7 linked regions of the Oryzias latipes genome follow. The protein of the gene in region 2 binds, or shares a complex with, the protein of the main gene of each other region. Links are inferred from orthologs where the notes say so. Each region holds a gene or a part of one and is shown on either strand. Other genes may lie near its edges.

Region 1 (4,422 bases), on a different chromosome or scaffold from region 2:
ATCAGAGTTAATGTGTGTGATAGATGTTATTCCTCAAAGGGACCATTGCTTCAGTCTGGACTCACCCAACTCATGACGACTCTTTCTGACGTCATTCCAGAGAAGTCCCCACTCCCCTGGAACATGTCGGAGAGGCCCATCTCCTTAAGGTTTTGAATCAAGTCGTAGCTTTGCTCCAGTGTGAAACGAGGTAACAAAACCTCACGGGTCCTAAGAAAGAGAAAAAATGGGGAGACCTGGTTATAAATCATATAAAATCCAAAAAGTTGACAAAATCCACCCAAAAAAAATTTGTGTTTTTAACATGTCCTCCATCATTTTTCTGATGATGGACGACATGTATTAAGTAAATTTAGTTCACAATTGCATTTTTGAGTATTTCTTTGTTTAAATCGTAAATCAGGAGCAGACGAAAAAAAGAAATAGAGCTTAAAAATTTCGTTGTGCAGGCCAAAAGCTCCTTATCGCTCCATTCTGATGCATCCACTTACAGACAAATAGATCCACGTACGTCTTTATTTTTCTTGTCTGAGCTGGAATCTGGCTCAAAACTGTACAGCTAGATAGCTGTGACATTACTGGCCTTTTTTTGTTGCACCAGTAATGTAAGGTTGGGGTTGTGAGGGGCTTTAAACTAGCTGTTTGTGGTTGACGGCAAGGGGGGTTGTTGTTGTTCCGCTTCAACAGTCCTGCTCACAACTCAAAGGCGAATTTCTGATAAACTACTGCAGGTCTGTAGAAACTATGTCCTAGAAAAAGACACAAGCTCTTAACATTTTGGTTAAAAACGGCATAATCCTTATGTAAAGACCACTGGGAACACTTCTAAAATAGATCAAAAGATGATGGGACTTTAAAAATGTTTCATACTAACCATTAATGTGTGACGTTACTGTGAAGGAGGCTAAGCTGGTAACTAATTGATGAAATAATGTTAAAGGTCAAAAAAATCTACCGCTATTCAAATTCCTATTTTTTTCCTGAGAGGTCTTAGCGCCGGAATGAGCATCAAACTGTCCTTTTATAAATGATGAAACCCCAAATACTTGAATTCGTCAATAATATGAAGCCAACCTGTTTGTCATGTTTTTGAGCCACTTGTTGACAACAGTTGGTGAGATCTGCCTCTCCAGGGTTCTCATCCCGCTGATCTTCCTTGGTAAGGCGATGAGCATGCTGATGTTTCCTGAGTATGGGAGCTGCGCGGAAGAACGGTTACATCTTCATTAAGTCGAGTCACCAAGCGGTTTGTGGATTAGAGAGCACCTCCACCAAACAAGAGCTGCCGAGCACCCACCTGTAGGATGTCACAGTCCAGTTCATGGTCGGCAGCAGCCAGATAGTTCCCCTTATTGGCCATCATCGGCACACGTACGCTTGTTTTTTCAGTAATTCGGAAATTGCGATAGTAAGTCATCTCCTTTGGGAATTTCTGCTCCCACGTCCCTGTTTAGCCAAAGAATTGACAGATCACTTGCGTTAAGAATTCACACATCTTAGGAGTTTTCTTTCCACTTACCTTTAAAGTACAGGTAGTTTAGCAGCATCAGCACCATATTTGGATCCACACTCTTCAGTGGATCTTTGATCAGCCCCTTGGTAAGTTTCTGTATGCGGCTGTTGGCCTTCTCCAGGAATGCTGGATCTCTGAAGTTGACTGACTGCGGCTCAGCAAAATAATAATTCTTGCTCTGTGTACGGAAGCCGTCTTTCATGGAGACTTCTTTCTTAATGTAGACGTCATTTACAGAGCGTAACGTGTAGCCAAAGTTCCTCCTGAAGAGCCTGTGGGTGAGCTTCCTGAACAGCTTATGCACCGTCGTGTTATCATAGTGATGGCTAGCGTTGACAAAATCTGCAAATCCCAGAGCTTCGTAGATCTGCTCATGTGTCCCCGGCCCGGCGCCTAAAGACATCATCCCCATGGCGATGGAGATCCCCGCAGGTGCTAGCAGGATGTTGTCGCTCTGGTTTACGTGGTTCCGGAGACTCCGGTAAAGGTTGAAGCCGAAATGGGCATTCACGGTGTTGAGGCGCTGGAGACGAGATCGGCCGTGGAAAAGCCTCAGGAGCCGAGCTCTTCGGATCTTTGGGTCAGAGGCTTCGGCAAAGATGTCAATGTCAGGGGGTGGTGTTGAAATCTCATCAATCTCATCGCCCTCGCTGAAAAACAATAAAAAGTTAAAATTTAGGTATCAGAGTTTCCTGCTTTCTGAATCATCAAGGTTACTTGAAAAAGGCTGAAAATGGTCTGTTGTAAACCTACTCTGACTTTCATTAAGTGCAAAGCATTTGAGTTATTTTCCTAACATTGGATTTTGAATAATCTTACTTACATGTAATCATCACTGCCAGCAGCAAGAATTTTATCAAAATCGATGTAATCTTCATCCTCAAAGCCATCAAAAACTAACTCATTAGTGACTGTATTTGCTTTGTGGAACTCCATGGGAATGGCCTCCACATCCTCTGTCCCAGCCGGCTGTAAGCCTCTAGGGTTTGGATCTGGACCGCTGAAGTGAGTGCCGAGGTCTTTGATGCCGGCCGAGCATGGAGCAGCCAGCAGAGAGGCCGCAGCAATGACCATAATGACCCACATCCTGAAAGCAGAAGAAATGTTTTTTGAAGTGTAGCTTATTGTCGGGTCCCTTCAGCAAAAGGATCATTAGATTAAATGAATTTTGATGAAGCTGTAGGTGGAAGACGATCTCTTTTGTTCCTCAAAAATGCTGTTATTTTGTTAAATCTCTTACCTTTGCTGTGAACTTGTGGGAAGTGCTGCGTTGCCTCTGTTTGTAGGACTAATAACACAAATCTGGACTTTGATTCAGGGTTCTCCTAAACAAATATACAAGATCAAACAGTTCAAAAAGTCTACTGACAGACTAAAAGCTTTAACTCTTCACAATTCCAAACTGTTGAAGTACTTTATTATTTAGATGTAATATTTTAATTTAAAAAATTCAACGTGTCTTGTGTTTGACATAAGAGGGTGTCTTGCAAACATTTTTACTCAAAGCACCCCCTTAAAACAAAAAAAACCTTCACATTTAGGTTTGTGTACTTAAATGATTAACTCTTCCGCATTTTTCTGACCTTTTCTGTTTTTGTGACTTGTAGTTGACAAGACGGCTTCAGCCAATCAAGGAGGCCAAGCCCCGCCTTCAAAAGCTCTTCAGGGACTTTTGGTTGTATTCTGTGGTCATGGGTTTTGCTGCAGAGGGATCAGGTGAGCGATGTTTTCATGATGTGTTCCATTAAAAAATGTTCTGGTTCAGTGACCTTTGGTTCCCTAAAACACAAACACAAAAGGTGAGAAAAAAGAGAATGTAAATTCTCTTTGAAAATGTTATTGGACTGATTGAAATGACTCCATCCAGTGAAATTAAGAGAGACAGAGGTCTATTTTGTCGGGGGGTCTGAACATACAACTCCAAGATCCAGTGCCCTGGAAATTTCCCAGAAGTCTCTGCAAAAAAACAGAGTGCTTTGATGCTCACTAGTTTGGCAAATATAGACAACACTGCATTCCGTTTAAACTATTTTTATTTGCAATAAGTGTAAATTTAAGTTTTCTTGATCAGAACACAGTGGATTTATAAACAGTCTTTGTAAAATGTTTATATTTAGTACATTTTTACTTTAGCAAAGGGGTAACATCATATTTTAAAGAAAGTACTGAGCATGTGTCCGAATTGCTTTATAATGCAGGGACTATATTACACTGGATAGTCCTGTGCTGTATAGTTTTTTAGGCGTTAAGTAGTGATAAGGCTTTCGATCAGAGTCAGAGTTTTAGATGATCCATTTCTTCTGTATTCTTTTTTTTATTCAGGACTTTGGCCTGAAGAGTGGTATGAAGGTGTGTGTGAGATTGCCACCAAGTCTCCTCTTCTCACTTTTCCGAGTGGAGAACCACTTCGCTCTGAACTACAGTACAATTCGGCGTTGAAAAATGACACTGTGACACCGGTAATTTTGAAATCCTGGACAGGATTTCTATATATTTTTTTGCATTAGTTAAGGTTTCAGTAAGATTCCAGTGCTAACTGTATTATTATTACTTTACTGCCCTCAGGCGGAGCTGAGTGAACTTCGGGCAACCATTAGCAATCTTATCGACCCCACTCCAGAAGGATCTGCCCTCATTAACAAGCTAGACTTTGCCATGTCCACCTACCTGCTCTCCGTCTACAGATTAGAGTACATGAGGTCAGCCTCACTGCCATTTTAATCCTTTGTCTCAACAGATCTCTAAAGCCTGTTTTTAACACCTTTGTGTTTCATTAGGATGCTGCGATCCAACGATCCTGATCGGTTCCAGGTCATGTTTCGCTACTTTGAGGACAAAGCCATCCAGAAAGACAAATCTGGTAAACTTTGATCTCCATACACAATAAACTACCAAATTCTACTTTTGCG
Region 2 (3,865 bases):
GACGTTTCCAGACCTTTGACCTTAGGAAGAGGCAGCCATCTTGAAATAAAAAAAGCACCTTTTTCATCCTTGGGATTTTTATCGATCTTCTTGAAACTTCTCGAGCATCAATGGCAAGCTACTGTGGACAAAATGTTGGAATTAGAAGTTGTAGATTTTGAAAGGCGTGCGCGTGGCAAATTCGCAACTGTTGCGATTTTAGATCTTGAATTTTCTATAAAAAACACCTTTACCACCGGATTCAAACGTAAACTTGTCGTTGGAATTTTCATCGATCGTCTCGAAACTTTTTGGGCAGCAATGGAAAGCTACTGTGGAAAAAATGTTCGACTTAGAAGTTGTAGATTTTAAACGGCGTGCCCGTGGCGAGCTAGCAAAGTGGCGCACTGTTATAACTCCTTTTTCATTCATCTTCTTTACCGTTTATTCCCTTTCGGGGTCACGGGGTTGCCGGAGCCTATCCCGCCCACTTGGACGTAGGCAAGGGATGCCCTGGACTGGTCGCCAGTCTGTCGCAGGGTAGAATGTCCTCAATCACACATCCATTCGCTCTCACACTCACGGTCAATTTAAAGTTGCCAATCAACCTATGAAGCATGTTTTTGGACGGTGGGAGGAAGCCGGAGATCCCGGAGAAAACCCACGCATGCACAGGGAGAACATGTAAACTCCACACAGAAAGGGACCCCATTGATGTTGTGTTTTCATGTCCCCCAGCTGGGACTTGAACTGGGGGCCTTCTTGCTGTGAGGCAAGAGCGCTAACCCCTGCGCCACCGTGCAACAACTCCTATGTTTTTCAATGGAATAACAGTGAAATTTTAATAAATGCGTCAATGTCAGGAACTAAACATAATGAAAAACACTGGATATGCACATACAAGGAATGTGGGCGTGGTTATCACAAAACCAGTGTTGCTAAGGACAACAAAAAGTTGACTTTTTCCGATTCGTCTCAAACTGATGTCGGTCTGTTCGTCATCTCCAGGTGACCCAAAAATAAAATGGTTGCTATGGAGATAAAATCAACAGAAAAGCCGCCATTTTGAAAAAGGTGTTTTTTTTATCAACTTAATGACATTTAGCTCTCACCAATGGAGCAGTGTGTTTTTCTGAGTCAGTGGATGATGCTAATTGTTAAGCTAGCACTTTCAGCCACATTAGCATAGCTAGCATAATTAGCATTTTAGGTAATGTGTTTTTCTGAGACAGTTGATTATGCTGATCGTAATGCTAGCACTTTTAGCCACATTAGCTAGCTAGCATAGTTAGCATAATTAGCATTTTAAGGCAATGTGTTTTTTTGAGACAGTTGATTATGCTGATCTCAAAGCTAGTACTTTTAGCCACATTAGCATAATGTGGTTAACATTATTAGCACATGCAGCTTTGACTAGCCTTGATCAAAGTTGGGCGGTGAAGGTGGACGGTGAAGGTGGGCGGTGAAGGTGGTGATGGCGGCGGTGGTGCGTAGAGTTGGGCGTGGAAGGCTGTTGCGTCTGCAGGCCATACAACGCCGCTTGCGGCTTTAATTTAGTTTAATTTTTGCTCATGTTTGTTGTAAATATTGTAGAATGTTAACTATCCTTTGGTAAATTGATAGAAAATGGAGTTCATTACAAAAACACGTTTCATTTAACAAAGTCATGTTCAAATTCTAAGACTTTTACCGGATAAGTTCAAGTTAGGACGATGAACTGGTTAGTTACCTGAAGATAGGATGTGGAAAGCTGTGGCTCCAGTGTTGACAGACCCTGCCTGATTTTGTGATATGGATGTTCCCGTTGTAGTTATGTCCATTGCCAGAGACACAATGGCCTGAACACACACATATGCACAAAGACTCACAATCTGACAATTTTGACACAGAGGAACTTAAGACTGTTTTAATCTGGTTTATGTAGAATTACCTTCCACACAGTCTCTGATGAGGCCGATGGTCTTTGTTGTTCTATGTTTCACTGTTCCTTCACAGTCTGGACAACAGGCAAACACACAAGTGTGTGCAACAGTTATATGTTTGTGGACCAATCTGTTCTGAACTTTGTTCATATTTGCTTTAAAGCTTGCAGCTGAATAAACTCTGCTTTGCTGCACAAACAACCTTTAATGGAATCGAAACTGTTTACGCAAAAATAGAACTAGTTTGATTTATTTTTTATCTTCCAAGGAGTATTTTACCAGTTTGGATTTCCTTTATGTGTCTGCTTGGTACTCACCCAGGTACTTCGCCCAAAAGATTTCCTGAAAGAACAGTCTGTGTCAGTATAGTGACCTGTCTGAGTTCAGCATTAAGGTATTGAACAATGAAGGCGTACGGTTTTATCCGTCTGCTCAAACACTTCTCTGGCCTCTTCGTGGTCACAGATCTCCTCAAAGCACTCCCTCTCCAGGTTTCCTGAGAGCAGATAATCAACATTAGCAGACACCAGCATGGCCTCCTGACTCAATCATTTTTCCTCCACCTTTAGAAAACACCGATACATTTTTCTTTATGTCGATTTTTCTCTCTTATTTATAATATAGTAAGAGTAGGGACAGTCTTATTAATGGTGAATCTATATGACAAAAGGAAGCCATAACACATCTAACCCCCTAAAAGCTAGACCCAGTTACAGACAGGAAGTTACTCCTTATTTCAATATATTGAGCAGGAAGTGGCTCACCTGGTTTCAACTCCTCAAACATCTGATTGGCTCGTGGGTTCCGGACCAGCACCTGCGATGCCTGCTGACCCTTCAGAAAAACTGAAACCATAAAAGAGATCTTTTTTTTTAAATTGGAGATGACAAACCTTTAGAAATGCCAAGGTTTCAAGCTCTTCCAGCATCTTAGTGAGATTGCAATCAATTATACATCTATCAAAATTATTTGCATTTGAGGAGATATTACACTGCAGATATCCAGAAACAGTGTTTTTATTAGTAAAAGGTTTAATTTTCTGTTTGACACACTTTCTTTGCTTGCTTTAAACATTTTACTTTTAAGTCCAGAAATGTTTTTTTTATCACTTTAGCCAAAGTTCAAGGATTTTTTTAAATTTAGAATTTAAGGAAAGTTACTATAGGGACATAGAATTAAAACAAAATACAGTACTGGATTCAAGGGCAAACTAGTTAGTTTCACGTGTACACAAGAAACCAGGACAATTTTTATACTTCTTTGTTCCTTTAGGCGCTCCGTAGAAAGTAATAATGAACTATTAAAACTTAGAAAAGGCAGCTTAATTTCAACTAATTTTTTTTTTTACTTCTATGTCCCTTCAGAGGATCCGTAGTGTGGAGCCACCAGTACTTTTTTTTTTTTTACTTCTTTGTCCCTTTAAGGGCTCCGTAGTATAGAGCCACTATTGTTTTCTTTTTCTTTTTTTTTTGTTCTTTGTTCCTTTATGGACTCCGTAGTAAGTAAAGATGAATTACTATTAAAAACAAATATTTTCCATAATTAATCAAACTTAGAAAAGGCAGCTTAATTTCAACTAATCGTTTTTACTTCTATGTCCCTTCAGAAGATCCGTAGTGTGGAGCCACCAGTACTTTTTCTTTCTTTTTTTTTACTTCTTTGTCCGTTTAGGGACTCCCAAAAAAGTAAAGATGAATAATAAGAAAAACATGTATTAACATAGGTGATCAAGCTTAGAAAAGGCAGTTTTATTTCAAGGTATAAAATTGCGAAACAGCAACACAGTAAAGCAAAGATATAAACAGCTTTGTAGACAACAGGTTAACAGGTTAGAAACAGTTCCTGCCTTGTTCAATAGGTTTTAGCTGCTTACTTGCTAAAAAGATAAAAAATTTACAGAAATATATGATTCAGACAATAAAGCACCTAAAACTGTGTTTTAAGTTTTTCAGTTTCACCATTAT
Region 3 (2,904 bases), on a different chromosome or scaffold from region 2:
ATAGATCATAGTAAACTGATGTGCGGTGCAGATATTTTTTTCTCCAAGCACCGCTACTACTGGCATCGCATCGCACCCGAGATGGACTGGTCTTATGAAAAAAAAGTATAATTAAAGATTTGTCTGCGAGCCACATGTGACCATCAAAAGAGCCATGTATGGCTCGTGAGCCATAGGTTCCCGACCCCTGCTATAGGGTGTCCACACAAACTACACTCTAATTGAATAATTTTCTCCTTTCCAAAAGTCAGGCTGCACATAAGGAGTTCAAACTTATCAAGTGAACAGCACTTTAGGGGTTGAAAATTTGAAAAATCGGTACGACGTGCCAGCGTCTCACTTACTTCCCCCTATACGTACCCTTGTGTGTCATACAAGTAAGTGTTGGCTACAACCTGTCAACTGGACCATGCGGGCATGAACATTTTCTCTAAGGGTTCACCAAGCAGTCTACAATCCTGATATTACCTGCGGCCACCTTCAAGCCCTGTACAGGTTTGCCTACTTTTTGCCCGCAGAGAGTCCATATGCACCTTATAAGAGCCGTTGTGACTTAACTGGTTTACATTTTCCTAGGCATTTAAAATAGCACAGTTTCATTTAAAGGGCATGTTGTTGTTTCATACTATTTAATTCTTTGAATTTGTGACATGAAAATTAGAATGCTGTCATCTAACTTTTTTGCTCTGCTACCTTAAACTAGTTTAAGCTTTTTCTCTGTAAAATTGGACTTCATTTCGCAGTTGTTTGGTATGTTTTTTGCATCTAATTACATCTGTAAACTTTGTACCATTTCAACCAGTCCCAGTCTTTGATATAAGCGACTTAGGCAGCCGCCTAGTGTGGCAACTGCTGAGGGGCGCTACACCAGCAGGTTGTTACACAACTTGTCTTTTCCCAGGCAATTGAGGTAATTAACGTCCAAATTAGAAAGACACAAACTGTCCGGTGCGCAAAACAGAAAAGAAGAAGAATAGAGACGCAAACAGAGCTAATGGTTTATAATGACGTCCCTGACAACTTTCCAGCATTGAAAGCAAGAAGAGTCAAAATCGGAGTTGTTTCAGTCTCTGCCCAGAAACTTTATAAATGTAAATATATATTTATTGTATAATGCTTTCTGTCTTCAGTGTTCCTAATTAAAAGCTTAATGACTTATTTAATTGTTGCAAATCAGAGCGGATCATCAAAAAGATTTCTTTACGTGGGAAAATTGTGTGCTGCATTTGACATATTCTGTTTTTTAGTTTTTTTTAGTTTTTTTTTTGTGGGTGCAGTTAAACTTCACCTAGGGCTCCTCATTTCCTGCAGCCAGCACTAGTTCCAATAATTTTAATGTTGAGGTGCAAGTAGATGAAGGAAGTGGTTAATATGGTCTTTATTATTTTTTTCCTATATAAGATTTCAGTTATTCTTTTGAGTCCAAAAGGTTTGTGTAGCAAGTTTAGAAAATTCTCAAAGCTGTACTGTAACTTAAAGAATCCTACAAACGTTAAGCCTATTTAACTATTGGCTCCCATTTTGCCCTTTTTTCCAGCTAACTTAGCTTTGACGATATTTGCCATCAACATTCTTTTCAAACTGTTTCATAGATGACACATCAATCCTGTGCTGTGCCGAACAGTGTAATTGTGTAAATCTGTTACTTGGGAAGAAGCCGAATGACATTTTCAGCTCATTTGAGTTTTTCTGAGAGGCAGGGCTGAATATTTCAAGCATAATACTTCTTTTTCCTTTGTCAAAACAGTTACAGTAACAGAATATGTGCATTTTCTATTTTCTCTGAAACATTAACATAGGAGAAAACATAAAAGCTTAAACAACTTCAGCGAATCATCCAGGAACAATAGACTTCCTCTATCTTTGGATTCCATCCCCCTCCACAATAAAGCAACTTCTTCTCAGACAGTAATGCTCATGGACTTGCCTTTGAAAGTCATTATGAAAAGCCGGGAGCCAGTGGAGGTGGACATAAGAACAAAGAGGAAGGGGTCCAGACAAGCGTGGAGACAGCACAAGCACACTGCCATGCTAAAGTACCCGTACAAACCTTCTGATCCATTCAGCTCCAGCTGCAGATAATGGATAAAGTGCAAGATTCCAGTGGGAAGGAAACACACCAGGAAGATGCCAAAAACCAGCGAGCTGGCCTTGATGTACTTTCCCCAGTCTTGGAGGGAGTTCTTGAGCTCAACGATGATCCGAATGTAGCAGAAAATTGAGACCACCAGTGGAGCCAGAAGACCGATGACTGTAAGAACCAGGTTGTAGGAGAGCAGAAAGACGAAGCTGAAGGAGCTGTCGTCGCGGGCGAGCACATCGTGGCAGGAAGTACGGTTCAGCTGCGGGAGCCAGAAGCTCTGCCGAATCAGGAGCTCTGGGATGATGGCTGTTCCAAACACCCCCCACACCCCCAAGCTGACCCAGGTTGTGCACATCCTCTTGGGCAGGCCTTTGTACATGAAGGGGTGCACCACAGCTATGTAGCGCTTGATGCTAATGCAGGCCAACGTCGCGGCAGAACAGTAGAGGTTGCCATAGAAACAGGCAGTGACCACCCGACAGGCTGCCTCTCCCAAAACCCAGTTGTTTCCATGGAGATGGTAGTGAACCTTAAAGGTGAGGGAGAGGAGGAGGAAGAGGTCGGAGACCGCCAGGCTGTAGTAGAGGATGGCGGAGGAGACCTTTCGGATTTTAGTAGCCAGGAAACACAGGATGGCGACATTGGCCGGGACGCCGAAAACAATCACAAATATATAAATGAAGGGGACGACCCGGGTGCTGAGCGGGCCGCTGAGGTACTCCACGGTGCTGTTACTGAGGGACTGCAGAGCTGGAGAGGGGGGGCTTGAAACCACCTGGCTGCTGTTCTTCTCAACGTCTGTCTGAGGGACCAGGTTCCCA
Region 4 (4,424 bases), on a different chromosome or scaffold from region 2:
AAAAATTTAAAAAAGTTTAAGCCTGAATTTAGCCTTAAGGACTTAAAGAACTGATGACTTTTCAAAGAATAAAAAAAAACAAGACTTGGTAAGGAAAATACATGTATTTAGTGGTCAAAACAACATTGAAGAAACCGAAAATTCTTTTTGGCAAAAATCTCCACAATGGTCAACAACACAGTGACACCGTGATAGTTGGTGGCTGAATACTTGATCTGAGGAGGCCTAAGTGCAGAACACTTAACGGTTTCACAGTCCTCCAAACGTTTTCACGCCAGCTTGCTGTTCTCCTCCTGACATGATGCGGTTGAGGGGAATGATCTTCATGGTCGTCTCCTTCAGCGAGTACCAGCGGTCGTGCCACGTCAGCCAAGTGATGCCATTGTCATAGCCGTGTTCACCCGCATCTTTTTCCGTGTATCTTCCACCTGGATGACAGAAACGCAGATTCCAAATTTTAATGTTTTTAACCTATTTATACATTTAAACATGGAAGTAACCACTTTTAGAGTCATTGTACCCTGGTAGTATTTTCCAGTCAAATGAGCGGCGTGACATCTGTTCATCCACCACCCGGAGCCGTCCTGCTGGGCACAGTTGCCATCATATTTGTCGTTGTCCTTGTCGAAGGTGCTAAACTGCATGCCATTGTGTGACGTGTAGAACTTGTCGCTGGGGTCTTCTCCTAGGTCAACACCATCGAAAGCATCTCCTGCGTCGCCACCAAAGTAGTAGCCATACATCAAGCGGTAATTGTCTTCTGCTGAGCCTACCCTAAACATGGCGTAGTCAGCGTGCCTGGAGTAAGAGACAGCAAGAAGTGAGACGTTTGAACCAGCTTAGATCTCGTTATTTACATTTTCCAGCCACATCAATGAGAGGTCATGTTTGTTTTATCATGTCCCTCTCTGCTCCTGTTACACAATCTGTCATAGTGCGTGGGTGTTCGTTTGTACTTTTTGTTGCCCTCCCAGTCAACAAGTTCTATCCTGAGGACAACCGGGATGGTGGTGCTGATAGTTAGTTGATGGATCTTTTCATTTCCGAGCCAAAACTCGGTGGTGTCATCCGGAGACAGATAGCCAAAGCCCTCCTTGTACTGGACCCAGTCTCTCCTGAAGTCCACACTGCCGTCACGTCTCTGCGGACAAAAAGGAAAATGGACTGGGATAAAAAAACTGTTTTGAGTGTGGGAAAAACAATAGCAGGATTAAAATGGGTACCTACTCTTTGGAGTACCGTAAAACCCCGCCCAACACTGTCAATCTCACAATAAACCAAGAACTGCTCCTTAGCTTTGGCTGGCTTCACATAGTAGAGGCCGCTGGTGGTGGCACCTTTATTTGCAACATCCTGGCAATCTGAGAACAACAAACAAACAATCATAAATGAAAAAAAATATGCATTCGTGGGACGTGACCATTTGTGTCTATGCCTAAAAGAATACCCCAAATTTGAAGTAATGGAAGATTATTTCTAAGACAAAACAAAAAAGCTTCGATGTAGCTTATTGATTTTGGCAGAAAACTAAACCCTGAACAAGGACACAAAGTGCTCACAACAGGCCCGATTGAGAAACTCCTTATGAAATAGGAACGGCCAGAGGGTCACGGGGAGTGTTTACCTGCTCCTGTGATAGGCTGGATTTCAACGGAGTCTTTGCAGGGCTCGCTGCATCTCTGCTGAAGCTGCATGGACAGCTGCTTCAGGTCTGCCATGCTTCTCTCATTGGAGGAGATCACATTCTGGAGTTCACTGGTGAGACAGGGACACCCAAGACGACTCTGAGTCATCATTTCCTTATGCTAAAAAAGATTATTGATGAAAAATGTTTGGGTTGCAAATCCGTCTGTGGGATGTTTGGTGGCGATTGGGAGAAAAAGTAGTTGAAACATCAATAGAAAAATAGAAAGTGGTGCAATTTTTGAACGTTCTGTGAGGAAGTAAAAAAGACAAGCGTTTCCTCCTCTTTAGCTTTGACTACATGATATCCCATAACAGGATGATGGAAGCCTTTTTCTTAGGAAAACAATTCAACTCTCTACAACATAAGCAGCTCATGTTAGCATAACTGTAGATATGATCCTCAAAAACACCAAAAATAAAAAAAACTTAAAACAAAATAGAATGATACTGAAGTGCTGAGACTACTAAAAGTGTCTATGAGATCAGAACTGACGCCTAAAATCCTGCAGTTAGACGTAAACCTCTGTTTTACTCACAATATTTGCTGTTCTTGTGCAATAATTGTCTTGTCAAATCGAAGAACGTCTTCCAGCATACTTGACGACCTTTTATAGAGAGGCTCTGAAATGAAAACAACCACGTATGCATTTATTTTAAGCTCGACATGTAACATTTGAAAGAATTTATGAAACCAACCAATGAAGAGAGAAACAACATTTTTCTATCTTTTTTGGAAAAAAAACCACATGGTGTTCACCTGGCTGGGAGCTCTTCTGGGCTGAAGCAGCTGAATCTCGCATGTATGTAATTTTTTCTTCTGCTCCTTCAGTCAAGTTAGCTATCATGTCCAGGTCTTTTTGCATTTCCGCCAAAATATCACTCACTTCTGGTAAATACTTGAAGAAGTAATCAGCAACTCCACATGTTGTGGGACAGTATTTTCCCTAGAATCAAAAAAGGCAAGTTGATTAAAAAGGAAAAAAAGATGTATTTTGATGAACACATGACACAAGTTTGGTACTCACAAAGCCATCATTTGTGGTGCATGTTCCCAGATTATCTCCTCTTACTTGCTATAAAACAGGACAGATTAGGTGAGTTGATTTTTTTTTTTCTCACAACAAAAAAATTGCAATCATTGAACTCACTGCAGATGCCAGGGAGAAGAGTAATAGAAATCCTCCCAAAGTGGCAAGAAGTTTTGACTGCATGTTGTTCTGGCTTCCTGTGTTTTTGGAGAGTGAAGGGGTGCCTGGACTGGGGGAATATATATCTGTACGTGGCCACGGGTCAGACTTTGGTAAAGGTTCATGGGTAAACATTCCACTCACTTTGTTGTCACAGATCTGTGACTCAGAGTGTAACAGGGGTTGCTTCAAAGTTGTGACGTTCTCAAAGTTTACCAACTAGAACACAGCTCCAACCTTCCGGCACAAGCTATATTTGTGCAAATCTGACTGCAGGTGAGGATGACTCAGCATCTTCTGGAACATGGCTCGTCTGCAGTCGGGAAATCGAAAAAGAATCACAACATGACTCATCACATCAAGGCAAATCATTTGTTTTCACTTGCTTGAGTCCATCTGTCATTACACGAGGAAGCATTCTGCAGGGTCTACATGCACACAGTATGTGCTGCCAAAAGTATGAAAACAAGATCAAATTCATAAAACTGGAACGTTTTGTTAAAGTTTTATGCTTCATATTGTTTCATGCCATTTCATTTAAATTTTGGTGTCTTAAATGAATGTCAATCAAAAGCATTTTTTGGGTTATTTATACTTTATCAATACATATGCAGATTGTTTAGCAATTCTACAAGTATTCATGCTATATAAGAACAAAGAGGAAGCTTTAAAAATAATTAAATTAGTCTATCCCAGGAATCATTACACAACACATGTCAGGTATCAAAATGGAGTTCCTATTGATTGTCTTCAGAAAAAGTTATTGTATTAATCGAGACTTGATAATAATATGAAAATTACTGCTCAATTTTTGCAACAGAAACTCATTTCTAAAGCACCTCGAAGGAATTGTGGTCCTGCTTGTAATAAGGAAAACAGCAGAGACACCTTAAAACTGATCTTCATGCATGGCTAGTTTGCTACGCTCACACTGACCTTGGCGACGTGCGTTCGTTCAAGCGACCACTTCCTATAAAAAGTCTATGTGAATGCACGCTTGAAGCTATCACGTTCATGCATAGCTTTGCATGTTTTTAAATCCGATTTTGGGCTCTATGTACAAACGCTCTGCCTTTGAACGCGCATTGAAAGCTAAACCAGTTGAACTTTGAACCAATCAGAGACTCGGATTTGGTAGTGAATTATGGGTAGTGTCCTTTTTAACCCACGGAAGTGCCAACCATTTGAAAATTAATTATGAAGGAGGAGAAATTAATAACTGTGGTTTGTGCCCGGCTGGAATTCTATAACAGCAAGTCTATCATATATCAGAATAGTTATGTGAAAGAAAAAGCTTGGAGCAAGATTCACCAGATTTGCACTGCTTTGACATTTTGCTGCAAGCCTCTTTCAGCTATGAGTACTACTTGCACAAGTATCGGGTAGCAACAGTCAAGTGTGAACACTGTATGCTAAAATCGCGTTCAAGAACCCGTGCTTAGCATGTTCTTTAGCACATTTTGCATTACTTGGCAAATACTATCACAACAAGTTGTAATACATCCCGATAACCTTTCCCTCTGTGACCTGCTTGACCTTGGGGTTTTTGAA
Region 5 (3,149 bases), on a different chromosome or scaffold from region 2:
ATCAAATCATATTTTTATTTTTTGTTGTTGCCATTTTTGATTATTAACTTAATGAGAGAAGAACCAGTCCATCCATATTTAGAACCCATTGAATCTCCTTCAGAGTCACAGAGTTGCTGGCGCTAACCCAGCCACTGTTTGGTGAAGGCGGGGTCCAGCCTGAACAGGTCACCAGGACCACAAACAACACACATTCACACTTAGGGACATTTTTGAGATACACACATCAACCAATGAAGCGTGTTTTTTTGGAGGAAGCTGGAGTGCCCGGAGAAAACCCACACATGCATGAGGAGAACATGCAAGAAAGGTCCTAGCTGGGATTTGAACCAGGACATTTCAGAGGGCTAACCACTGCACCACTGTGTCAAATTTTTTGGCATGCTAAGTTCTAGCTGCTTTGCATATACAGTAATTGGCAGAAAAAATGTTCAAATAAAACAAGTTGTGTTCATTGTTTACACTCATATATTTCCCATTAAAACACTACAAAAACTTTTAATAATAAAAACTTTTTTCTTCTTCAGAATTTGTGTGTTTAACAACAATTTTATTTAAAATCAATCAAATCAAACCAGACTATGTTGTTATTGCATAACTCTTAATGATCATAATAAACCCAACTTAAAGATTACCAGAAGTGCGTATTCCTTCAACTGTTTTGGTATAGTGACCAATTTAACCGACATCATACAAAGTACTCAATGTTATTTCAGCTTTTATTCAGCTTTTCTACTTTCTAGATGTATCTTCAATCTTTCTCTGTATCATCTTGCACAGAATTCCTTTACACTCTATATTTTCTTTTTTTTTTAAACTTCTTTTCAGCTGTCCTGTACCTTTTTACAGGTGATCACGTAGTGATGCTGGCTGAAGTGTCTGTTAGTGGGATTTACTGATCACAGGGGTTGACCACCCGGCCGCTGAACAGCAGCGTGTTGATGGTCGACTCTCTGATGAAGAGCAGGAAAGGCCGATCGGCCTGAAAGACCTCGCGGTAAGGGTTGAAGGAGCGTCCGACAGCAAGCACGACGGTGGCAGCCGCCGCCTCACTGCCCTCTTCATTGACCTGAAAGCAGATGATAACCTCCATCACTGCTGCTCTGTTACACATCATGACGGCACGGTGGTGGAATTCCTAAGTTTGTCCTAAAGTCATCCATAAACCCTGTCAGAATCATTAAACTTCGGGGGCGTGCACTAGTGTTTAAACCCTGTCAGAATCATTAAACTTCGGGGGCGTGCACTAGTGTTTAATATTGAACTGCTAAAAATCCCAGAAAATATTAGTAATCTTTTGGAAATCAAACTCAAATCTTTCAGAATAAAAAGAAATTCATCAACCTTGAGGATTTTCACAATATTACTCGGACTAAGCTGAGGTAGCTTAAACTCAAACCTACTTTTAAAGTCAATCTTTGAGGTTTGTTTTGGAAGAAAAAAAATGTAAATTCTTAGGAATTACTACTAAATTAAGAGAGTGGCATCAGAGCTCAACAGTAAAGTTGATGCTATATTGCTCGCCATTTTTGTTGCACCAATAATGCTAGGTTGGAGTTGAGAGGGGCTGTAAGCTAGAACAGGGGTTGAGTGTAACACATGGATAATGGGAAGTGTGGTCGGGCTTACTCCGTGCCAATAGTTCCAACCACAATTAATTTCTCAATTTCTAATGAACTCATGCTGCTCTGCAGAAACTATCTCCTGGAAAAAGACATAATCATAATTAAAAGACCACTGCATGCTTTGAAAATACATCAAAAGCAGATTTGAGTATGACTTTAATATAATTATGCCAAGATATTCTAACATAGTTTGAATGCACAAATGTTTAGATTTTCATCAAGACTCTCACACATTCTGAATTTTTAATCCGTTAAGTTTTTTAATAGATTTCAGATGAAACATTGTGTTTTTCCATCCTTGTTGTGCTGTTTCAAACCTTTATCTGTCAGGTTAGCATTTTAAAGCTAATTTAGCATAAAACAAACAAACTTGGCTGACTTGATTTGTGATGTCAGTCATTTATCTTTTCTGAAGAGGTGTGTTTGAAGAATCGTATGCTCATTTATTTATAACAAAACATGCTTTTTAGGTAGTTTTTCCTTATTTTTGTTCCTTATTTGCTGTTTTTTACATAAAATTCATCTGACTGACCTCCAAAAAGGCTTTGTGGTAGGCATCGGAGATGAAGAGCCCATCAGAGTCGTCCTCCAGGATCCCTGAAGCACAAACAGACTTCACTGAAGCACAGATTGATATTCTCTTTGGAGGCAAATGTAAAAATTAAAAGATTTTCCTTTTTACAATTGCACTGCAAAAACAGAAACATGCCCCCTAGAGGAAAGTAAAATAAGTTTACCCCATTGGCAGATTTTTCTTAAATATGCAAAAAAAAAACTCTGCCAACAGGGTAAGACAAATGGCCGTACCAAGAATTCTTATTTTAAGATAAACTAAGATTATTTTGCTATTGAAAATGTTCTTAATAATTTTTCTTGCAAGACAGAAAATTGAAAGATTGAAGACTCAGGTTTTGTAGTGTACCATTAACCAAGTAAAATGTGATGAGGGTTTTGATCACAGAGTTCATATTTCTGAGCTCAAATCCACAATAACTAAAACTTGGTTGATGCTCCAACAGAGCAAATTGCAATAACACACAAACACTGTGGGAAAATGTAGTCATACTGAGAGCCAGCCATGACTTGAACCGAGTTGACAAGCTTAGTAAAACTAGTGTTTTATTTTAAATGTGTTTAGCAAACTTTTTGTAATAAAAAAAGCCAAATTTTCTTTAAAAATGAATTTATTTTCTCTGATCTCAAAAAAGACTTATGACTGGCAGTGAAGATGTGCCTCAGGATAAAGCACCTGGAAGGCTGGCGTTTTCAGCGCTGAACAGGTCGGTCAGTCCAATCTCCTGCAGCACCTCCTTCAGGTTGAACTTGTCCTCCACCTTGAAGCGAGGGATGGACACGGAGACGGAGGTCTCCGTCATCTGATCCAACCAGTTGTTCAGTTTCTTCAAATTCAGGCTCTCCTCCACCTAAATACACACAGGAACACCTCTGTAGCATGAGGCCTAGAACGTGGACGGTTATCGAAAATGACAACCGTCCATGATAAATGATCATCAAATGAAAAAA
Region 6 (4,386 bases), on a different chromosome or scaffold from region 2:
CTTCAAATGCCTTTTTGCACAAATCTTTGTACTATGAAAGAAATTGAATGAGATTTGAAAATGTAATAAAATCATATGTTTACCAAAAAAAATTCAGTAAAATGTGAGTATTTTGATATTTATTTTGAGGTAGTGTAACCTCAAAATAAATAGATCTTTAACCATACATTTTTGGGCATTGGTTAGATTTCTAAAGGCAGTCTGATTAGTATGGAAGAGCAGAAATAACTTGAGTTGGAGGTTTTGTGCAAAGGTTGGCCTGCTGCAGGCAGCAGCTGAATGCATAAATGTAACATCGGCTTTTCCTGGTTTTGCCTGAATCAATAAAGCGTTTAAAATGATTTTAGTCCATGAAGTTTGTCCCAAACACAAAAGATTATAGATTTTTCTGGCTTTATCCGGCTTAACATTTGCTTCAATGCAGTGTCTCTTTAGTTGCATTCTTTATAGTCCGTTCATCGCTTGACTAAAACACAATAAAAAAAACTTCAGGTTTCAACATGTTCCCATCTTTTAAAATGAAGGTTATCAGTAGGTTCAATTAAGTTGTGACCACAAAGTCATACTAAAATGATTTAACTGAACTGAAATGGGAAATGGCAAAAACGTTATGCTTTATCCCTTGTGCTATCCTAGGCACTTTAATGTTGGGAGTTGGGTCTTGTAGACCCACTAGACAGTGCGCTGAACCTTTTTTCTTCAATGATTTGTGATCTTCACTGGTGTCCATGGATTACATGAAATCTTTCCACCTTTATCCACCTTTGTCATGGTAGGGAGAACACGTCAATGTAAGGGTGGGGTCATAGGATAGCACAAGGGTTAATGAATAACACATTTTTAAGTATTTCTTCACTATAACTGACAGTTGTGAAATTGTTTTTCAATAAAAGACACTTTTAAAGTTTGCACTTAGGTTTTTGGAAAATCAATTAGGTGTAGAAACTGTCACAAAATTAGTGTAGAAATAGGAGACAAACCCTCCTCTCCCTGAAATAATCCCATGGAGCTGCCTCACTTATTGTGTGGCTCACCAGGTGTTTACAGGTGTTCATATCTGTCAACACAACTTAGTTTGTTAGCAAATTCTATTTTGAGGAAAGAATTAGAGGTAGAATGTACATAAAAACAACTCATTTTTAAATTTCACTTTTAAATTATAGTAAATTGCTGTTTTGTTTTAATTTGTAGGGGAAATCAGGAAGTATTTCGACCACTGCAAATGCTTGAAAGCGTGCTACGCATCACGTTATGACCTGAGTATTGCTCTCAAACAGGTAACTGCACCTGAACTTCATGACAAACACTATACCGGAAGTAACTCTGAGTGTCATCCCAAAACTATAACCTTAGTCATCCATAATTTCTGAATATAGCGCAAAATGTCATGAAATAAAACGCGTATTAGAAACATATCTAGAGCCCACGTATACGTTTGTATATAAAGTCAAACACATTAGGATTAACTGTTTATTGTGTTTTATTTTGAAATTCCAACGGATGTGAGTGCTTCGCCGTTTGGCTAGTTACTGCACAAGAGAGACGCGCTTCGCGTTCGGTTGTTTGGCTGGAAGGCGGAGCCCGGAGCGATAAAGTCTTCCGAGAAACAACGGCGAAGTCAGAAATAAAACTGACTGTCGCCGGGATCAGAACCGTCAACCCCCAGCCCGGACCAGGTTAGCTGCCTACTGGATAGGAAGGCGGACGGATACGGTCACCGTTTACCTGAGTGATAAAGTCGGAGCAACTCTCCTCGTGATGGGTAAGCGCAGCCGTTTCATCTGCAGGGACGTGATGCAAACGATCTCGACGGCCCGTAAAAACGGACTCTATTGGGGTTAAACTAGTGACTCCTGACATTTGACCCCCCTCCCCTCAGAAAAAAAGGCAAATATCTGATGGGGTGGGGGTCTTGTGAGTAAATAGCCGTCTCATTGACGCGGCGCGTGAAAGCTTTGGGAAGTGGGGCCGCACCCCGCTGTGGGACTGACCATTCCGGGGGGGGGGGGGGGGGGGGTGTCACCATGTGCACCAATTGGGGGGAGAAAAAAAATGTTTCAGCAATTACTTATACATAAAAACTTTATTGAGACGTTCCTTGAAGACATTTCCTCTTTTGAAAGCGTGTTGCGTTAGTGGGTCCTCCTCCTGAGGATACATAGAACTACGGCGCAAATTCCTGCTGCTCAACCGAGAGACCGAACGTAGATCCCTGTCGGTTGGTGCAGCAGCTTGTTGTTTCCCGGGATGACAGTTAAGTCGGCAGTTAGTCCAAAGTAGTGAACAGCAGTGTTTTCTGTTCAGGGGGGGTGGTATGAACCCCCACAGACAGGAATGTCCAGGTAACCTTCATCGGTCATTTCAATGGTTTCACGGAGATGTTTTTGGGGGGGTTGGAGGGGCTGCCTCTGACCTGTTGTTGTTGGCTCCTCCCTCAGGTGCAGTGGGGATCATGAAGAAAGGCGCATCACTAGTTTGCCTTTGTGCACTGATGAACCTGTTTGTATATAAAAAAGTGCTGTGCCAAGCTCCATCATATGGAGAACGAGGTTCTGATCTTGGCATCCAGGTGTTTCAGGAAGTAGTCCGCTCCAGACCCTTGGAGAACGTGGTGCTTTCGCCCCATGGAGTGGCTTCCGTCTTAGGCATGCTGCTTTCTGGAGCCCACGGGGAAACACGGAGGCAGATCATCAAAGGGCTGCGGTACAAGAAAAATGGTAAGAGATGGATCTTCTGTGGAAGAAGAAGATCAGGAGATGCAGTTGAACAAACACTGACCCTAAGTTATTTCTCACAGTTGTTACTGTTTTTAAATGAAAGATTATTTAAGGAGGTAAAGATCAATCTAATCCTTTTTTTCTGCTCAGGACCCTACAAGATGTTGAGGAGGTTGCACAAAACTCTTACTTCCAAGTCCAACCAAGACACGGTTCTGATTGCCAACGGTATCTTCAGCCAGAAGGGGTTCCCCATGGAGAAGACTTTTGTGAGCACAAACAAAGCCAACTTTCAGTGTGAAAGCAGGATTCTTGACTTCAGCAACCCCCACGCTGCTGCTGACGAGATCAACAAATGGGTCAAAAACATGACCAAAGGTAGGAATGTGACATTCAAAAGGTTTTGAAGAACGTAGAAAACCGCTGAAGAGGGTTCAGATCCCAACAGAACTGACTGAAACCCATTAAATATTATGCTACATTCAAACCGGGCTCAAGCTAACATCTCCAATGAAAACTCAATGTAAACGTGCGTACAGTGGGGCAAAAAGGTATTTAGTCAGCCACCAAATTGTGAGGTTTCCCATTTAAAAATGTGAGAGAAGCCTGTTATTATCATCAAAGGTAAACCTCAACTATGAGAGACAAAATGAGAAGAAGAAAAAATCAAAAAATTATATTGTCTGATTATTTATTATTATTATTATTTTTTTTTTTAAGGAATCTATTTGTAAATTATGATGAAAAATCAGTGTTTGGTCACCCACAAACAAGCATTATTTCTGGCTCTCACAGACCTGTAACTTCTTCTGAAAGAGGATCCTCTGTCCTCCACTCGTTACCTGTATTAATGCCACCTGTTTGAACTTGTTATGAATTTATAAGACACCTGTCCACAACCTCAGACAGTCACACTCAAACTCCACTATGGCCAAGACCAAAGAGCTGTCTAAGGACACCAGAAACCAAATTATTGATCTGCATCAGGCTGGGAAGACTGAATCTGCAATAGGTAAGCAGCTTGGTTTGAAGAAATCTACTGTGGGAGCAATTATTAGGAAATGGAAGACATACAAGACCACTGATAATCTCTCTCCATCTGGGGCTCCCTGCAAGATCTCACCCCAAGGGGTCAGGATGATCACAAGAACGGTGAGCAAATATCCCAGAACCACACTGGGGAACCTAGTGAGTGACCAGCAGAGAGCTGGGACCAAAATAACAAAGGCTACCATCAGTAACACTACGCTGCCAGGGGCTCAAGTCCTGCAGCGCCAGACGTGTCCCCCTGCTAAATCCAGTATATGTGCAGGCCCGTCTAAAGTTTGCTAAAGAGCAGTTGGATGATCCAGAAGAGGTTTGGGAGAAAGTCCTATGATCAGATGAAACCAAAATAGAACTTTGGAGGAGAAAGAATGCTGAGTTACATCCAAAGAACACCATACCTACTGTAAAGCACGGGGGTGAAAACATCATGCTTTGGTGCTGTTTTTCAGCAAAAGATCAGGACGACTGATCTGTGTTAAGAATGAATGGGGCCATGTATTATCAGATTTTGAGTAAAAACCTCCTTCCATCAGCAAGGGCCTTGAAGATGAAACGTGGCTGGGTCTTTCAGCATGACAACGATCCCAAAGACAAAGCCCGGGTAACGAAGGAGTGGCTTGGT
Region 7 (4,308 bases), on a different chromosome or scaffold from region 2:
GTTTTCCAGCTCTCCCTGCACTGCTTGCTGTTGATTACCTGGACCAGGTCATCAGAATGAGGAGACGTCTGACTGAGCTGATCAGCAGCTAGCAGGTCTTGGTGATCTGGAAAACATAAGGCGGGTAGATCTTGAGGACCAGAATTGAGCAGTCCTGCAGTACAGCATTACCAAACGTGGTTCATCTGAAGCAGTGGTCCCCATCCCTGGCCCTGAAGGCCGTCCTACACTCTTGGGGTGTGTTTGACCTGGGTAGCAGTGGAAATGTAAGATGCTCTCAGATTAATGGAGCTTTTTAACATCTTCACAGACTCTTGGGTTAGAGGCTGTTGTCCCATATGAGGATACAGACCATCTAAGTAACAGTTTGTCGCCTGGTCATGGACACAAGAGTGACATTAGTCCTTTGACTCGTTGATGAGGAAATGTTGTTCCCCTTAGAGGAGGGCTGGCCTTGATGGTCACCGGAGCAGCACAGAGAACGTTTGAGCTTCTGCCTGAACTCCGTGGACACAAAGTAGAAAATGAAGGGGTCAAGGGAGCTGTTGAAAGTGCTAACAGCTAAGCTAATCATGTAGGGAATGTAGAAGTCCTCGCCGTCCCCATCCACCCAGATGTCGGCGTAAGTTAGCAGGAGCAGGACATTACTGGGCAAAAGACACACGATGAAAACGAGCAACACTAAAACAGTCACTCTGATGGCGTGGGCGTAGCGCTTCCCTTCAGCCAGCAGGGTGCGCAGGACTGCACTGTGGCAGAAGAGGATGATGGCAAAAGGCAGAAGGAAGCAGCAGGCAAAGAGGGTGCTGAAGTATGGCAGGAAGTAATTCTCATGTTCCTCCTCAGGGAGAGCGTCGTGGCACGTCGTGATCTGCAGCTTGTCCAACACGTAGGTTTGTCGTGACATTAGAAGCGGCAGCATGGCAGCCAGAACCACCGTCCACACTGCCACCGTCATGTACACTGACATCCGCTGTGTGCGCAGAGTCAGTGCCTTAAATGGATGAACCAGAGCCACATATCTGTCTATGGCCACAAGTGCCAAGAACCAAGCAGAGCCGTACATGTTGCCGTAAAACACTGCCATCACCACGCGACAGAAGGGCTCCCCCAGCTCCCAGTGGTTACCTCGGAAATGGTAAACGATCCGAAATGGCAAAACCAGAAGAAGAAGGCAGTCTGCAATGGTCAGGTTGATGAGAAAAAACATGGACGGGAGGCGGTTGGTTCTGAACACCAGAACCCACAGAACCATGATGTTGGAGGGGAGACCGACACTGAAGGCCAGCAAGTACAAGATAGGCAGGTAGAGGTTTGTTACTGGAGCCTGGATGTCCTTTAGCTGCTTCTCCTTCAGAGTCGTGATGTTACAGGTCACCGTGAGCCGGAAGGTCCGAAGGACTGCAGACAGCAAGACACATAGCATCAGGCTCCTGCTCAGAATCAATATGGGATGGTGCGGAAAAAACTGAGGTTGTTGATAAGCAGAGTGGATTAAGGGACCAATACTTTTCCATTTTATCTCAATTTTCACAGTTACAAACATAAATTCTCTTGCACTTTTGAGTTCTTATTTAGATTAGGGTCATCACAGCACAGATGTTAGGCAGAAGCTTTACATCAGAGCTGCAATTGGACCTAGAATCAAACCAACAACTTTCCAGTTTGTTGAACAACTGGTTGATGGATGGTTGTTGCCCAGGAGATGGAGGTGCTTTTTTCCTGGGTACCCCAGTCACGTGGTGAAGAGACCTTTAGCAAGTTTCTAAAAAACAGTCAGTTCACACCAGACAGTCTGTACCGTCTCTGAGTACGTTTGAGCCCAAAGTTTGGTTGCTTTGTCTTCTGTTTTATGATTGAAAGTGTTTAGTGAACCGTGCTGATACTGGTCTACAAAGGTCGTCCAGAGCACGTTTCAGAAGACTCTGGTGTCATACAGATTCGCTGTGGTTGCTACACATGCCAGGGCACAATTCTTCAAGGCTATGACATGAGTGTTCTAGCAAATTCTGTTTCTTCTTAAAGGCTTAAAATGACGTTGCATAAAACCACAAAAGAAAACAAACTTCAGACAACTTTGACCTCTAAAACAGATCATAGTGTAAAATTTAAAAAAGACTTTAAGGTCTAATAAAGTTTGTTCTTCAACTTTATTAACTTCTTGGTGAAAGGAAAGGCAACTGAAAAGAAGGCATAGGGCCACTACCTGTATGAAACAGCTTCATCTGCACTCAAATAGAAAATCTTTGACCAACATCCTTTACAGCGGTGGGTGACGTGGGGTTTGGCTTCTTAGCCAGGGACACGAGCTCTAGTCTGGTATTTCAAATGTTGGCCAACTGGTGAAAAATTTACTCAAGTGTTATCATCTTGATTCTCCAAATCAATTATCATCATTGGTAGAATAAAGTATTACATTTAATGAAGGGGGAAGTAAAGGTAAGAAACTAAAAGTGATTGGGAAAACCCTCTGTAATCAAACTAAAAAGCCTTAGAATCATACCAGATGTGGGGGAAGCGGATCATGGCTTTAAGCTAACTTGGTTAATGTCTGTTTCTTGCATAAAGATGCTGTAAACAAACCACACCCACTGTCAGGGGTTCAGAGCGTTCAAATATTTTTACTGTCTGTGCTTCTGGCAAATGTTTGAGTATGTCAATGTTTAGTTTTGATGAAAATAATCATCTTCAGTGACGCAACTATATTTCAGATGAAACAATTCTGGCATGAGACAGATGTGAGACCCTGATATCTTCAAAACAAAAAGAAAGACTTACTGAGAGATGTGTTGGGACATTGGTCTGCAGAGTGAGAAGGTGGTAAGGTGCCGAGGACAGACGACAGTCCCATCGCAAAGAACAGGGCCCCAGCCAGCAGTTTCATACTTCCTCTGAACGTCTTTCTCTAGCTGCACAGCTCTTTGGTAGACTCTTATCAACATCAGCGGCTTCCTGTTCTCTCAGAAACTCGAGTCTATTTGGGGGTATGGGGCTGGTTCTGCTGTAAGTGAAGTGAGAGGCTGATGTTAGAATTTAATGCGGACACACCTCCACCATAACGACCTCAGGGTGTGTGTGTGTGTGCTCCTGTGAGGACCCCTGTTTGAACTCACTGCGGACCTGCTGTTTGCGTCTCTGACCTTTTTTATTTTTTTTAGACCTAAACTGGTGTTTGGATGAGAACTAATCAGCTGGATCAGTGTTTTTTGTTCTGCTCGTTCTTGATTGAAACTGCAACCGTGTCCACACATGTTTGTGAGAACTGCTCAGTCCCCCCCCCCCCCCCCGCTCCCCTCATCACACAGGAAACGTGTCCGAACTTCAGACCCCTCCTATGTTCTGTCATCCAACCACAGCTCACTGCTGCAGACAGTCAGGAACGCAGGCTTGTTTGTATTTGCAGATGTTTGGATGAGAGTGGTTGCAGGAACGAGAGCAGCACAGAAGGTTTATAGGAGCAGGACCAAGTAAGGCCAAAGAGCAGTTTTACCTTTAAAGGTTTTACGGTGGAAGAAACTGGTGGATGCACACTCAGTAAAACAGAACCCGACAACTCCTCTGGGGTGCGCTGTAAACAAAGGCTAAATTGATTTTAAAATTAAGAGTACTATGTATTTTTTTTAGTCGTGAAACACCTTCACTACATTTGCTTTGTCCTTTTTTATAATGCCTTTGACCAAATTTCCTGATGCGATGCAGATGATTGTGTTTCTAAGTGGCCACTCTGGAAGAAGTCAATACAGAGAAATCAGATGGGTCTGTTAAAGGTTTTAGGGTACATCAAGTGGTAAGCCAGGTTCAGTTTAGTGTGTGATGCATGAACTCTCATTCAAATGTCCAAGAAATTTACTACAGGTTTGTCAAAAACACTTCTTATATCACTTTCAACACACCTTGTTTTTATTTACACGGTTTCAACATTGTTGCAGATTAAATCCACTTGGAGAAAATGATCTACAATCCATCTTCTTCCACTCATCCAGAACCAGGTCGCAGGAGCAGCAGTCTAAACAAAGATGCCCAGACTTCCTTCTCCCCGGACACTTCCTCCAGCTCCTCTGAGGTGAATGTGCGACATTCCCAGGCCAACCGACAGACGTAGTCTCTCCAACGTGTTCTGGGTCTTCCTCGCGGCCTCCACCCAGTGGGACATGCTCGGAACACCTCCCCAGGCGCCAGAACGCAACCGGACTAGAGACCCGAGCCGCCTCAACTGGCTCCCCTCAATGTGGAGGAGAAGCAGTTCAACTCTGCTCTCTGCGGGTGACCGAGCTTCTCCCCCTGCCTCTAGGGAGCGCCCAGCCACCC

Evidence for each region.
Region 1: the proteins of prothrombin (region 2) and serpind1 are in contact, whole or in part, in a crystal structure (PDB 1JMO), measured with the Homo sapiens proteins. The link is inferred for Oryzias latipes from reciprocal best matches to the Homo sapiens genes F2 and SERPIND1. Residues at the interface, in NP_000497.1 of Homo sapiens: Lys384, Ser385, Pro386, Gln387, Leu389, Leu390, Cys391, His406, Cys407, Tyr410, Pro412, Trp413, Asp414, Lys415, Leu423, Arg425, Ser430, Thr432, Arg433, Tyr434, Lys440, Ile441, Ser442, Met443, Asn458, Leu459, Lys470, Trp511, Ala513, Asn514; in NP_000176.2 of Homo sapiens: Glu75, Asp76, Asp77, Asp78, Tyr79, Leu80, Leu82, Ile85, Phe86, Asp89, Asp91, Val305, Glu306, Met307, Thr308, His309, Gln327, Asp343, His361, Lys362, Arg388, Thr457, Val458, Gly459, Phe460, Met461, Pro462, Leu463, Ser464, Thr465.
Region 3: the proteins of prothrombin (region 2) and proteinase-activated receptor 3 are in contact, whole or in part, in a crystal structure (PDB 2PUX), measured with the Mus musculus proteins. The link is inferred for Oryzias latipes from reciprocal best matches to the Homo sapiens genes F2 and F2RL2. Residues at the interface, in NP_034298.1 of Mus musculus: Phe379, Gln384, Glu385, Leu386, Leu420, Arg422, Arg428, Thr429, Arg430, Tyr431, Arg433, Lys437, Ile438, Ser439, Met440, Lys467, Pro470; in NP_034300.3 of Mus musculus: Thr46, Phe47, Glu48, Glu49, Phe50, Pro51, Asp54, Ile55, Glu56.
Region 4: the proteins of prothrombin (region 2) and fgg are in contact, whole or in part, in a crystal structure (PDB 2HWL), measured with the Homo sapiens proteins. The link is inferred for Oryzias latipes from reciprocal best matches to the Homo sapiens genes F2 and FGG. Residues at the interface, in NP_000497.1 of Homo sapiens: His450, Pro451, Arg452, Arg461, Arg486, Ala489, Ala490, Leu493, Ile530, Val531, Glu532, Arg533, Cys536, Asp546, Asn547, Met548, Phe549, Cys550, His605, Phe607, Arg608, Leu609, Lys610, Lys611, Trp612, Lys615; in NP_068656.2 of Homo sapiens: Pro439, Ala440, Glu441, Thr442, Glu443, Tyr444, Asp445, Ser446, Leu447, Tyr448.
Region 5: the proteins of prothrombin (region 2) and serpinc1 are in contact, whole or in part, in a crystal structure (PDB 1TB6), measured with the Homo sapiens proteins. The link is inferred for Oryzias latipes from reciprocal best matches to the Homo sapiens genes F2 and SERPINC1. Residues at the interface, in NP_000497.1 of Homo sapiens: Leu389, Leu390, Cys391, His406, Cys407, Tyr410, Pro412, Trp413, Asp414, Lys415, Trp455, Arg456, Glu457, Asn458, Leu459, Asn506, Thr510, Trp511, Thr512, Ala513, Asn514, Val515, Gln519, Arg541, Ile542, Asp562, Ala563, Cys564, Glu565, Gly566; in NP_000479.1 of Homo sapiens: Lys258, Glu264, Asn265, Arg267, Tyr285, Glu287, Gly288, Lys289, Glu345, Met347, His351, Ala419, Val420, Val421, Ile422, Ala423, Gly424, Arg425, Ser426, Leu427, Asn428, Pro429, Asn430, Arg431, Val432, Lys435.
Region 6: the proteins of prothrombin (region 2) and serpine2 are in contact, whole or in part, in a crystal structure (PDB 4DY7), measured with the Homo sapiens proteins. The link is inferred for Oryzias latipes from reciprocal best matches to the Homo sapiens genes F2 and SERPINE2. Residues at the interface, in NP_000497.1 of Homo sapiens: His406, Tyr410, Pro412, Trp413, Trp455, Arg456, Glu457, Asn458, Leu459, Glu509, Thr510, Ile542, Asp562, Ala563, Cys564, Glu565, Trp590, Gly591, Glu592, Gly593, Cys594; in NP_006207.1 of Homo sapiens: Val225, Arg288, Ser355, Ala356, Thr358, Thr359, Ala360, Leu362, Ile363, Ala364, Arg365, Ser366, Ser367.
Region 7: the proteins of prothrombin (region 2) and proteinase-activated receptor 4 are in contact, whole or in part, in a crystal structure (PDB 2PV9), measured with the Mus musculus proteins. The link is inferred for Oryzias latipes from reciprocal best matches to the Homo sapiens genes F2 and F2RL3. Residues at the interface, in NP_034298.1 of Mus musculus: Glu385, Leu386, Leu387, Cys388, His403, Tyr407, Trp410, Asp411, Arg428, Arg453, Glu454, Asn455, Leu456, Trp501, Gly502, Asn503, Trp508, Thr510, Gln516, Arg538, Ile539, Asp559, Ala560, Cys561, Glu562, Gly563, Asp564, Val585, Ser586, Trp587; in NP_032001.2 of Mus musculus: Asp54, Lys55, Pro56, Asn57, Pro58, Arg59, Gly60, Tyr61, Pro62, Gly63, Lys64, Cys66, Asn68, Asp69, Ser70.

The regions. Positions count from the first base shown.
Region 1 is NC_019867.2:6,063,845-6,068,266, reverse strand, and holds the start of serpind1 (heparin cofactor 2), read right to left. Parts: upstream 2,855-4,422; 5' UTR 2,754-2,854; intron 2,601-2,753; 5' UTR 2,600-2,600; coding exon 2,337-2,599; intron 2,164-2,336; coding exon 1,520-2,163; intron 1,447-1,519; coding exon 1,298-1,446; intron 1,200-1,297; coding exon 1,075-1,199; intron 211-1,074; coding exon 66-210; intron 1-65. Other genes in the region: phosphatidylinositol 4-kinase alpha, read left to right, coding at 3,121-3,229, 3,836-3,972, 4,079-4,212, 4,291-4,373. UniProt on the Homo sapiens protein: Thrombin inhibitor activated by the glycosaminoglycans, heparin or dermatan sulfate. In the presence of the latter, HC-II becomes the predominant thrombin inhibitor in place of antithrombin III (AT-III).
Region 2 is NC_019860.2:10,379,581-10,383,445, forward strand, and holds part of prothrombin, read right to left. Parts: intron 2,747-3,865; coding exon 2,666-2,746; intron 2,398-2,665; coding exon 2,318-2,397; intron 2,244-2,317; coding exon 2,219-2,243; intron 1,976-2,218; coding exon 1,910-1,975; intron 1,818-1,909; coding exon 1,709-1,817; intron 1-1,708. UniProt on the Homo sapiens protein: Thrombin, which cleaves bonds after Arg and Lys, converts fibrinogen to fibrin and activates factors V, VII, VIII, XIII, and, in complex with thrombomodulin, protein C. Functions in blood homeostasis, inflammation and wound healing.
Region 3 is NC_019870.2:3,361,849-3,364,752, forward strand, and holds part of proteinase-activated receptor 3, read right to left. Parts: coding exon 1,902-2,904; 3' UTR 1-1,901. UniProt on the Homo sapiens protein: Receptor for activated thrombin coupled to G proteins that stimulate phosphoinositide hydrolysis.
Region 4 is NC_019859.2:20,796,602-20,801,025, reverse strand, and holds the start of fgg (fibrinogen gamma chain), read right to left. Parts: upstream 2,970-4,424; 5' UTR 2,898-2,969; coding exon 2,835-2,897; intron 2,760-2,834; coding exon 2,712-2,759; intron 2,631-2,711; coding exon 2,444-2,630; intron 2,308-2,443; coding exon 2,223-2,307; intron 1,756-2,222; coding exon 1,625-1,755; intron 1,362-1,624; coding exon 1,228-1,361; intron 1,142-1,227; coding exon 957-1,141; intron 799-956; coding exon 521-798; intron 429-520; coding exon 250-428; 3' UTR 1-249. UniProt on the Homo sapiens protein: Together with fibrinogen alpha (FGA) and fibrinogen beta (FGB), polymerizes to form an insoluble fibrin matrix. Has a major function in hemostasis as one of the primary components of blood clots.
Region 5 is NC_019862.2:24,576,112-24,579,260, reverse strand, and holds the end of serpinc1 (antithrombin-III), read right to left. Parts: intron 3,050-3,149; coding exon 2,875-3,049; intron 2,223-2,874; coding exon 2,158-2,222; intron 1,070-2,157; coding exon 893-1,069; 3' UTR 702-892; downstream 1-701. UniProt on the Homo sapiens protein: Most important serine protease inhibitor in plasma that regulates the blood coagulation cascade. AT-III inhibits thrombin, matriptase-3/TMPRSS7, as well as factors IXa, Xa and XIa. Its inhibitory activity is greatly enhanced in the presence of heparin.
Region 6 is NC_019871.2:18,674,797-18,679,182, reverse strand, and holds the start of serpine2 (glia-derived nexin), read left to right. Parts: upstream 1-1,500; 5' UTR 1,501-1,758; coding exon 1,759-1,762; intron 1,763-2,438; coding exon 2,439-2,717; intron 2,718-2,867; coding exon 2,868-3,095; intron 3,096-4,386. UniProt on the Homo sapiens protein: Serine protease inhibitor with activity toward thrombin, trypsin, and urokinase. Promotes neurite extension by inhibiting thrombin. Binds heparin.
Region 7 is NC_019868.2:3,735,633-3,739,940, forward strand, and holds the start of proteinase-activated receptor 4, read right to left. Parts: upstream 3,146-4,308; 5' UTR 2,885-3,145; coding exon 2,779-2,884; intron 1,402-2,778; coding exon 356-1,401; 3' UTR 1-355. UniProt on the Homo sapiens protein: Receptor for activated thrombin or trypsin coupled to G proteins that stimulate phosphoinositide hydrolysis. May play a role in platelets activation.